Linked DNA regions of Caenorhabditis elegans. The protein of the gene in region 2 interacts with the protein of the main gene of each other region in a pairwise test. Each region holds a gene or a part of one and is shown on either strand. Other genes may lie near its edges. The genes, in order: hpl-2 and lin-13.

Region 1 (5,962 bases), 3.0 Mb from region 2:
GCTTCCAGTCACCGAAAAGGCCACCAAGGAGAAGCTCCAGACTCCGGTTAGCTTAAATCTCATGATGTTTTTATCTAAAATTTCAAATTTTCAGAAGCAATCGCCAATGCCAGGCACCCCGGAAAATACGTCGCTCCCACCGTCCTTGATTAAGAAGAAGAAGAAGGAGTCGACATCGAAACAAGCAGCGCTGGAAGCGTTCGTCACTGTGGACAAGCCACACGATTGAAGTTCTTCTGAGCCCCCGACCGCCTCTCGTGATTTTCCCCCGTTTTTAGGTCCTTCATTTTTTTTATGGAGCCCCATTTCCCCTTTTCTATGCTCATCGTTCCCCACAATTGTATTATTTATGACCTCGTATAGTCCCATTCTTTTTTCAAACTCCCCGTCCGTATTTATTTCCCCACACAATTTCACTTCTATTACTTTTCTCTGACAATAAATTTTTTTTTGTCAAATTTTGTTTCTCTTTCGACATCAAGGAACTTTCAGTTTAATGATTTAGTGGGTTACTGTAGCTCTTAAAGGCGCACTCATTTTTTACGGGCGAAATTCAGGTGTTTCTAGGAAGTCTGTTTGCCATCATATTTTATCAGATTTTTTTGGCCGAAAAATTTGTTAGTCGATGCACCATGAGTTTTGTTCTCGATGTTCTTCATTTTTGTGGGATTTTCTGCAAATGCAGAAAATTTGTCGATGCACCATGAGCTTCTCAGTGTTTCTAACATATTTTTTATATATATTTCTAAAGAGATTTTTGTTGTACTATCCATTATATAAAGATAATGTTCAAACTTTATATAAATCGGATTTTCGAAAAAAAAAAGAAACAGCGGAGATCAAATAATTTATGAGTTTCTTGGGAACAAGAGACTGTCATCATCGTCTGGTACAGTGTCGACAACGATCGGACACGGTGGCGGGCTATTCGAATTGTCATCGAAAACGGAGAGGATGGCCGCCTCGTGAACTTCTCCATCGCCAGAGTCTTCAAGGAAATCTTGTGGGAAGCTGGAAAGCAGATCTCCATTGGCCGCCATGTGCATATCATTGAGCATATCGGCCGCGGTTTGCTGAAACTGAAGAATGGTTTAAGGAAGCACGTGGAGTCATACAGTCCCTTTTCGCTTTGATCTACGAAAAATGCGGGAGAAGAGACGCAGACATCTTATCTGATTTTGCATGGTTAAGAGCGTTCTGACGTCACATTTTTTCTGGGAAACAATTCCCGCATTTTTTGTAGATCAAACTGCAATGAGACTTTCTGACACCACATGAGGAAGGCTATTTTTTTGGCGAAAAAATCCCGAAATTTACAATTTCTGACATTTTTTTATTTACTAGAGATCGATTTTTAAACGAATTTCAGGAATCTCTTTTACAAATCTATGTTTTCCTTTTTCTTTGAAAAATCGATACATAGTGTTCTGTAGTTCTTAAAGGCGCGGCCTCAAAAAATATTTCGTTCGTGGTAAGACCCCTACCGCTTCAGTCATCTCAACGTCCTGCGATATTTTCGATTCCTTCCTACGTTGCAGCTCGTGTTCTTCGGTTGTCTGGAATTAAAATAAAAATTTTGAAAAAAATTTCAAAAATTGTTTTTTATTCTAAAATTAAAAATACATAATTTTGTTCCAAAAAAAGTTTCTAAACTACTTTTTCCTTAAGAAGAATACCTAAAAGAATTCAAAATTCGCAAAAAATTAGTTTTTTCTCAAAGATTTAAAAACAGTATAGTTTTAAAAAAATTTCTCAAAAAAAATGTTTTCCCAAAAAAAAATTTTTTTTAATTAAAAAAAACATTTTTCGAGAGGTGTTCAAATTTTGGACCTTGTGTAGAGACTGTTTTTTGGAAACATTTCAGAGAAAACTTTTTTTTTTCATTTTTCTCAAAATTTTCTCCTTCTAAAACTTCAAATTTTCTCACAAGAATTCGATGTCCCGGTGGCATTTCAGGCCACTCATCATCTGCATCATCTTCCTCAATCGAACGCTTCTTCTTTCCCTCGGAAATCCGTTTGTGTCGTCTCTCCATCTTTTTCTTCAGAAATTCGCCGTAAGCGTCGACGAACGGGCGGTATCTGTATGGAAAATAGAATGTCGAATGTAATGTGTCTCAAGAAATTTTTATTGATTCAATAATATTTAGTCTCGATTTCAGGGGTTAGCACAAAAATTGGTATAGATTTTACAAGATAATTCAAAAAGAATATGGGAATGAGATGAGAGAACATGATATTGAACACGTGTATCGGGGTGGGGAGTGATTAAAGCTCGTCGGCTTTTGGGTCTTGGATTGTTAGCTTGGATTCGTAGTATCTGATAACTTGGCTCGGATAGCTGAAATTTAGAGCTTTTTTAAATGCCAAATTGAGGTTCGCTTCCTAGCTAAAAACTCTAGCGCCGATCGGGATTTCAGTTTTAAATACGCAGAATAGTCAGAAAAATTTTGAATGTTTGAATTACCGCGCCATGGTTTTTATCAATTTAAACGCAATTGTTCCGTTTTTCCTCGAATTTCTTAGTGAAAAAGTCCAATTTTTCATATTTTTCGTGGTATTTCGGTATTTCGGCACTTATGTGCAGTACAGCCGGCATATTTTAGAGTGAAATCCCCATCGACGCGTATCACGAGACCACAAGATTCTGAAAATGCGTATCGCGCAAAATATCTCGTAGCGAAAACTACAGTACAGTAAATACAGTAAATTCTGTAGTGCCTGTGTCGATTTACGGGCTCTATTTTCGAAATCATATTTTTTTGATTTACCGATAGAATATTAAAATTAAGCAAAAATGCCACTATTTGAACAAAAATCCATTTCAAAACTCGAGCCCGTAAATCGACACTACAGTAGTCATTTAAAGAATGACTGTAGTTTTCGCTACGAGATATTTTGCGCGTCAAATATGTTGCGCAATACGCATTCTCAGAATTTTGTGTTCCCGTAATATTTTTTTTCGGATACTTTTAAAGTTTTTGGGTGGAGTGTTTCCGTAATACACTTTTAATCAACCGGGAGCAATTCCCAAACTCACCGACTGTTCACCTCCTTCGCTGGAAGAAGCCGTGCCGTGTCATCACTGAATTTGCACAGAAAATGAAGTTCCCCAGGTCCCTTGGTGAGCCCGACAATGCATTTTAACTGCTTGCCTTCCAGTGAGAATTTGTCATTTTGATTCGTTTCCTTCTTTTCATCTTTATCCTCTTCTGGATCCGCTTGATCTTCGGAAGGTTCGGGCTTCTGGCTGTGTCGTTTGCGAATTGGTTTCTCTCTCTGTAAAAATAAAATAAGTTTGTTGCAGAAAAATCGGATTTTATGACTTTGTAATTTTAACTCTAAAAAACCTAATTTTAGTTAAAATCTTCAAGTTTACCAGCTTTTCCGTGTGAAAATAGGAGAATAATCGAACAAAAATCTAATTTAAACAGTTGCAGCACGGAAAAGTGGGCAAAATCGAAGATTTTTCAAACAATTTTCACTATGAAATTCGCTTTTTAGGACCATTTCAAGTAAAATAAACTTTAAAAAATTCTTCAAAACCTTTGAAAATTCCCTCTCAAACTCGTCCAACATCTCGACGCACTGGAGATTCTCTCTCGGCTCCCAGCTAGAGTCAGACTCGGGGAATCCTTGCCACTGTATGAGAAATTCGTCTCTGCCGGCTTTTCCAGTTCGCTTGTCCAGCACTTTTTCCACCATGAACACGTTGTCCTTCTGGAAATCAGATTTTTGAATAAAATGTGACTTTTTTTTTCTTTGTCGGGGAACTTATACTGTCGCTTTGTTTCTAGCAAAATTGGATTTTTTATGCAAAAATAGATTTTTTGTTGCAAAATTGTTTTTTTAAAATATTTTTTTTAGTGCAAAAATTGATTTATTGTTTTTTTGCAAAATGGACTGTTTTTTGGTTTTTTTTCGTTGCAAAATTGTATTTTTTAGTTTTTTTTGTTGTAAAAATAGATTTTTTGGTTTTTTCGCCGTTCCATACCGGATCTTCGATTTTTGCTCGCTTTGTTGATTTGCTCGACATTTTTGAAATTGCTGAAATAAATTTGAGCTAAAATGGGAGAAATCTGAAAAAACATAGAAAAAATATGGAATAAAGATTCGAACAATATCTTGAAATTAAAAAAAGGCTCGAACAAGAAAAAAAATCATATTTAGTTTACTCACAGACAATCACCGTACAGAAATATTTAAAAAAAAAATAAAAATTATCAATCTTTTTCAGCATCATCATCATCACTCTCAGAGTCATTTTCTCCACCTTCAAGCCCTTCCACATCCTCCATCATAATCTCCTGTTCCTCATCGCTCTTCTCCTCGGCTTCTGGAACATTTGAGTCGTTTTCAGGCTCCTCGGGCTCATCTTCGTGATCATGATGATGGTGATCGTCGCATTCGTGTGGTTTTTCATCATCGTCACTATCTTTTTCTTCTTCCTGTTTCTCGGCTTCTTGCTTCTGTTGTTGCTTCTTCCGTTTCAGGTAGGTTAGGAGCTCTGAAAATTTAAAAATTAATTTTTTTTTGCCACATTTTTCGAGCTACTATCTTGTGAATTTCGCAAGTTTTGGATTAAAAGCGCGGTTTGTTGCATGTAAATTTACGAAGGATTTTGTACTTCACCCGGACAACTGTGAGTTATTGGCTGAAATTTACTTTTTTGAACTATTTTCGCTGATTCTCTTCCAACATTCCAAATTACCAAAGAAATGAGTTTTCCAAAAAGCAGAAAAAGAGGCGGAACGTAATTTTGCAACCAATTTTGCAACCATGCGGCACGGTTTTCCTTTTTCTTTTTTGGGGTTTTTCCATAAAAGTTTCGATTTTATTCCTTTTAATTCACATTAGATTGGGAGGATATTTCAAGCTAAATTGGTTGTAAAAATATGAACTATAATCGAAATGTTATGCGAATTAAATTTGATTTTTTTCTCGTAAAAAAAAATAAAACAGGAAGAATCGAAGTTTTTTGGAAAAAAAAACCAGAAAAAAAACCAAAAAAAAAAACAGTGGAAAATTGTCGAAAAATCGTGCCGCAGAGTTGCGAAATTAGGCTCCTCCTCTCTTTCTAGTTATAATGTCTTATTATTGTCCAAAAAATGTGAAAAAAGATTCACGCTTGTCCACGTGCAGTATCCTCCGTAACATGTAAGTATCAAACTGCGCCGAAAAACCTTCCAAAACTTGCGAAAATCACGAATTAATCGTTCTATTTCAAACCTTTTGCGGTATTCATAATATTCTCAGTATTCTGCTGACATATTGGGCATTTTGACGACTTTTGGAACGATTTCAACGCACAACCGGTGCAAAAGTAGTGCTTGCATTTTGTCACGATCGGATCAACAAATGGATTTCCGCAAATAAAACAATCCTCCGGAAACGTATCGTCGCCTTCATGAATCTCGTAATTCGCATCGTCTTCAGCACCATATTTTCCTGCTTCGTACTCCTCATCAATCTCCCATCCGTGTTTATAGTCCGATCGGTCGTGCACAAATTTACACGAATCTCCAAACGTACAGAATCCAGTCTCCTTGTAATCCTTGCAAATATCCGGTGCAAAATCCCAACGGACTGTTTGTCGTAGAAATTGTGGCGCCCGAACGGGCCCAACTCGATTATAACCACTTGCAGCGTTTCCCTTGGCCGTATCCTTCGCCTCTTTGGCTCCATACAGTGCACTTCCCTTGTACAGAATTTTTCCGTCTTTCTCGACGCCTTCCTTCAGTTGCTGTTGGACTCGTTCGAATTGAGCCTGGGCATCGTGTGAATAGTCTGTGTCCACTTCGAGTGTTGCAGTGGCACCTTGATCACGTGGTCCAGATGGACCGGCATCTCCTGAAGCGGCGAACGAGTGAGTTGCTACTGCGATATCCTGATTGTCGTCAGAGTCGTCAGAATCATCCGATGAATTATCAGCACGTCGTGTTGAGGCGTCTAGTTGTTTGGTC
Region 2 (5,113 bases):
ATCAATATCGAATCTTAATTCTATCCTAATTTCTCTTCTCAAAGTTATTTATTGACTGATTTTTAAACTTTAATCCTATTTTGGAGTTATTGATTCTGCGTTGCGGTCGCGTCGCGGTCACGCCACCCGTTCCTCACTTTTGTAAATTTTCTGAAGGTATCCCAAACGAGAAATCGTGCACAGCGGCTGCGTCGCGGTTTTTCATTTATTCAGTCTCGTTTCGTGTGTGGCTGGTTATTTACGCGGGCTGCCGCCGCCCACTTTCTCTCTTCCCTGCAGTGGCCTAAAATTGTATTGACCGCCGCGAAGTGTCCGCAATTGTGCGCCGTGGTGAACATTAACACACACGGGACCGGAAAAATGTGTAGTGTGTTTTTGAATATTATTTTGTTTTCTAGAGAAAATAAATATAGTTTAGAGTACAGTAAAATTATCGCTGCAAGACCACACTATAGTTGCAGAGTTCTTGACTGAGCGCTTCTTTAAGTTTTCTTGCTTTTATTTTATTTTTCCTGCTCATTGGGTTCAAATGTGGGCTTGCTCGAATTTCCACTTTAGCTGTTTTCTAATTTCGGAGCTGTATACTGTTCAAATCTATAGAATTTAACAATGTACTTTTTTCAAATGAATAAATCTGAAAAATGTGGCACCTGTAGCGATCACTATGACTGTGATCGTGGCGAGACCCGCTCAGAAAAACAACGTGTGCCTTTAAACTGACGAGTGAAATTTGTTGCGAAATTACGATAATAAAACTGGTTGGTGTGTTTGCACAGTTTTCGAAAGTTCTGCCTAATTTTTGGGGTCTGTACTTACGCGACAGAACATTTTATTATTTTCAGTGTACAGTATCCATTTACAGATACCCTTCTTTATTTTGAATCATCTGACCGTTTTAGACCCCAGTCCTTTTTGAATTTGTTTCCGTGGATTACTGTAGTTGCACAGCTAAATTTTTAAATATTTCAAACTGTCGTCAAATATAGCGCCGTAATGTACGCAAACACTTTGGGCAAAACCCATTCACTTTTCTTTTTTCTCCAATCGATTCGTCCTTGCTAGCCCCGTTGCAGTAGACACTGCAGCAGGGCAAAGAAATAGGTCTCGTTTCTCTGCGCCCTCTCCGCTGCTCATAGTCTTCCTACCATCGTTTGTCCGTCTGACCAATAAATATGAGAGACGCAGAGTGGCATATACGCTCTGCGGTACTTTCTATATGACACAGCCTTCAAATTCTCAATTCCAATGCGCGCCAAAAGATCGGTAAAAATTTTTGTCGCAGTTTCAAAATTTTTGTCGATTCCGTAACACGTTTCCGGATTTTGCTTTTTTAAATGAGAATATTATTTTTTCGGGGGTTTTAAAATATATTGAGTTTGAAGTATGACAGGATGTGCGCTGATTCTGCGTGTAGTCGTGTCGAGATCAGTAATTAGTGGGAAAGGGCTCACGAAAGTTCAGAGTTCGGTTTTTTGAAATCATTAGACCTCCAATGAAATAAACTTATCTAATAAAAAACCTAAACATTTTAAAGAGTTCTTATAAGTGTGTTCAATGGGTCGGACACGCCCACATAACCGCGCCCCGTATAAAATTTGTATCATAGTAGTGAGGTTAGCCAACGAATTGCAGTATATTTCACGCGCAAATTTGAAACAATTAAGTTACTGGTATTCACTATACATCGTAAAAAACCGAACAAACGTTTAAAAATACGCAAGTTAGGCGTAAATTAATTTCGAGAACATATGATAGATTCTTGAATAATTATCTTTGATTCAAACTGGAAGTTCATGTAGATTGATATTTTAGTTTTTTTTTGAGATAAAGCTTATCTCCAGTCATTCTTTTCGTTCAGTTCTCTCATTTTTTTCTGTTGCCTTTTTCAAAAAAAATTTCAGCTCTCCAAATAACAACTATGGATGAGTTTGAGCTGTTTCAACAGCTCAACCAAACAGCCCCACTCGTTAAAACGGAGGAGCCAGAAGTTCCAGATGAGGTGAGAATCAGTAATCAAGTTGTTTAAATTACCCCAGAGAAAGTTTCAGCAAGCGAATAACAATCAAAGCGCTCCACTGCGTACAGGATTATCTGATCTCAGTCATGAGATAGCAGCTGCCAAACAGAGAGAAGAAGAGGAGGCACAACGGCTTGCTGATTTTATGCAAAAGGATATGAAAGAGCCTGCTGTCAAGAGGAAGAGAGGATCAGAAGAATATAAAAAGTAGGTTAAGTTTAAGTTATTCAAGGAAACTTTCAAAAATGCACTTAGAAAGCATTCACAGTCAAACATTTGTTAAAATTGCTAAATTTGTGCGAATTTATTTAAATTTGTGCCACTAGAGCGCACTTTCCTCATTCGCAATTCACATTTTTGAGGCCCCACGAAAAGGGGAGCAGAACGAAAAGGGGATCTGCAAAAAGGGGATCTGCGAAAAGGGGAGATACGAAAAGGGGAGATACGAAAAGGGGAGCAACGAAAAGGGGAGCTGGCACAGTGCCAAACGCACAAAACGCTTTTTTATTCTCATTCAACGCACGACTTTGTTATAACCACACTCCGTTATTACGCATCGCGCGTTGTTTAGCGTAAAATACACAAATAATGCGTGCGTTGAATGAGAATAAAAAAAGCGTTTTGTGCGTTTGGCACAGTGCCAGCTCCCCTTTTCGTATCTCCCCTTTTCGCAGATCCCCTTTTTGCAGATCCCCTTTTCGTTCTGCTCCCCTTTTCGTGGGGCCTCACATTTTTCTTGCATCAGGTAATTTTTTAAATTCAATTTAGACTGAGTTTCACCGAGTTTTCATTTAACTGAACGAAATCTAAATACCTGGTTAAATTTTTATTTTTTCATTACCATAAATCAAAAAGGAATTATATTTACACTTACATTGAATATTTCAGAGATCCTCTTGAATCGAAAGCTCCGTTATCCACATTTGGACACTCTTCCCGACCCCGTAGATCAGTAAACTACGCGAGTATTGAACGAGGTGACGAAGCTCAAGCTCAGTCACTGGTTACCGATTTTGGAAGCCGAGGGAACCGGAAAAAGCCGAAAAGAACACGAGATGAGCTGGACGAAAATTATATGGAAGAAAATGAGGGTAATTCTGGCCGAAAGAAGAAACCTAATGCAAAAGGCGCATCCCGTCAATTTCAAGTTCCGGGTTTACCAACCTATGCTAGTCAATATTCAAGACCTCCAAAACAAGAAGATGTGTTTAAAACGATTGTCCCATTAGCAGAAGATGCGCGAGCAGAAGGTGAACGAGTAATTGGATTCCGACTAGATTCACAACCTGCTGTACGGAGGGCTTCTGGAGGATTTCGACGGTTTTGTGCATGGCTCAGTGATAACCAGATTTTTTCGATAATGTTAGTTTCTAAAGCAACGTTCAGATTCTCAATTTAAAATTCAGGCAAACTGTCGATAAACTTTGTATCGTTGGGGCAAATAATGAAGATCATGACGAAATCCTATTGAAAAGTATTCGTCATGTATACAATGCAATGCCTCCAACGTTTCGTCGTGATTGGGAGTATGCTGCAAGGAAGGATGTGTTCGATTCAAGACTTTTTGTTCAAAATATGCCGATGCCGCTTTCCGAAATCTCGGTCACGGACCCGCGTCATCCGGTAAAATTTACGGTTGTTGATATTTATCTAAATCAAAAGTTTTCCAGCCAAGTCCGATTGCGCGCGGGACAACTGTTCGCCCAAATTGCTGTGAAAATCAGCCATTGTTCTTAAATATGTGTGAAACTATTGAACACTACCTAGGACATCATGACGTGGTTCACCTTTTCGGATGTGATATCTGTTACAGAGTTTATCCGTCTCGATATGAATTAACTAAACACGATTGCAAAGAGTTTGCGGAGTACCTGCGTCAATTAACTTTCAAACAGCAAACTTTACATCTTGAAGCCGCGTACATGTACCTCTGCTGTTCTCAGTGCGGATTGTGGCTGTCGGTAAAACCATCAGGCGAAGGAAAGAAAGGATGGACGTATTTTGCAACTGCATTGGTGAGTCATGAGTGATTATACATTTTTTTCTCTGATTACAATTATTTTTACAGATGAACCATTCTTGTCAACCGTTGGTTCCGGTCGTTGCTTACTTCCCAAAACCGTTGAAAGATGAAGGGAAAGGAATACGAATTCAATTTCAAGTGATGTCTGAACTAAACATTGGACTTCCGCTGAGTTGTTCTGAATGTAACATTGAAGAATTTCATTCTGTTGTTGAAATCGAAGAGCATTTCAAAGAAAAACACGAGGCTAATCATACCTGTATAAAATGCGGAAAAACATTTGGAACCGAGTTTATGTTGAAGTGAGTTTTCATTAGAAAAAAATAGTTCATGAAGTTTCAACCACTATTCAAGTTAATCTTATGAAAATTATTGATAAGATGATTATAGAACTGTGGAATATAAACGCGAAGCGAATTATAAAAGCAGAGTGTTACTTTCCAAAAATGTTTTTTTAATGAAATTTTTGGTCTTAGACACTCAGACAACAAATACAATTTAAAGATATTTATTTTTAATTGCTTCGAAACTTTTTTCTTTATTTCTTCAAATTTTAGACATCACGCGCAATCACATACAACTCAAACCGCACAGTTCGCCAACTATTTACAAATGTCGGCTACTTACCAACCACCACCGAGTTCTGGACGTTTGCCATATGTCGGTTTTGGATCGAGTATTCCTGCGATCGGAGGACTCACTAGCGGAGAAGTACAAGCTCTTGAAGCATCAGAAAACAAAAAAAGTGAATTTGTAGAGGTAGAGTGCAGTGAAGCATTTCAAGTTCTAAAATATTCAAATTTCAGCCAGATGAGTACACTATCCGCAAAAAACTACTTCGGTGGAAGCATGCAAAAACTAAGAAGGAAAATCGTAATATTACTGATAGTAACGAGAAGGAATTTTCATACGAACCGGGAGAGTCCTCTGGTGAAGAAGATTTTCAGAAAAGTCTTCTAGAACAAGATAATCAATCTTCGTCTTCTTCTGATTCTGATTCCGATAGTGATGATTTCACATCAAGCAAACAAAAGAAGAAAAGAAATATCAAGATTCGTGGAGATTTGGGATAT

What was found.
Region 1: the proteins of lin-13 (region 2) and hpl-2 interact in a two-hybrid assay, tested with the Caenorhabditis elegans proteins (one study listed by BioGRID).

The regions. Positions count from the first base shown.
Region 1 is NC_003281.10:10,751,476-10,757,437, forward strand, and holds hpl-2 (Chromobox protein homolog hpl-2), read right to left. Parts: upstream 4,047-5,962; 5' UTR 4,036-4,046; coding exon 3,994-4,035; intron 3,720-3,993; coding exon 3,546-3,719; intron 3,279-3,545; coding exon 3,040-3,278; intron 2,341-3,039; coding exon of another isoform or gene 2,268-2,340; exon of another isoform or gene 2,116-2,267; intron 2,082-2,115; coding exon 1,928-2,081; intron 1,557-1,927; coding exon 1,485-1,556; intron 1,080-1,484; coding exon 849-1,079; 3' UTR 779-848; downstream 1-778. Other genes in the region: enu-3.6 (ENhancer of Uncoordination), read left to right, coding at 1-46, 95-229; rnf-113 (putative E3 ubiquitin-protein ligase rnf113), read right to left, coding at 4,223-4,506, 5,229-5,961. UniProt on the Caenorhabditis elegans protein: Seems to be involved in transcriptional silencing in heterochromatin-like complexes. Probably does not act as global transcriptional repressor, instead targeting a subset of genes. Involved in RNA processing mediated by Tar DNA-binding protein homolog tdp-1.
Region 2 is NC_003281.10:7,706,278-7,711,390, reverse strand, and holds the start of lin-13 (Zinc finger protein lin-13), read left to right. Parts: upstream 1-1,899; 5' UTR 1,900-1,918; coding exon 1,919-1,999; intron 2,000-2,042; coding exon 2,043-2,224; intron 2,225-2,905; coding exon 2,906-3,379; intron 3,380-3,423; coding exon 3,424-3,640; intron 3,641-3,687; coding exon 3,688-4,032; intron 4,033-4,085; coding exon 4,086-4,342; intron 4,343-4,379; exon of another isoform or gene 4,380-4,529; intron 4,530-4,597; coding exon 4,598-4,799; intron 4,800-4,846; coding exon 4,847-5,113. UniProt on the Caenorhabditis elegans protein: Involved in repression of vulval fate, possibly by a tumor suppressor protein Rb-mediated mechanism. May act in a common pathway with retinoblastoma-like protein homolog lin-35 and hpl-2 to influence the ER stress response in the intestine.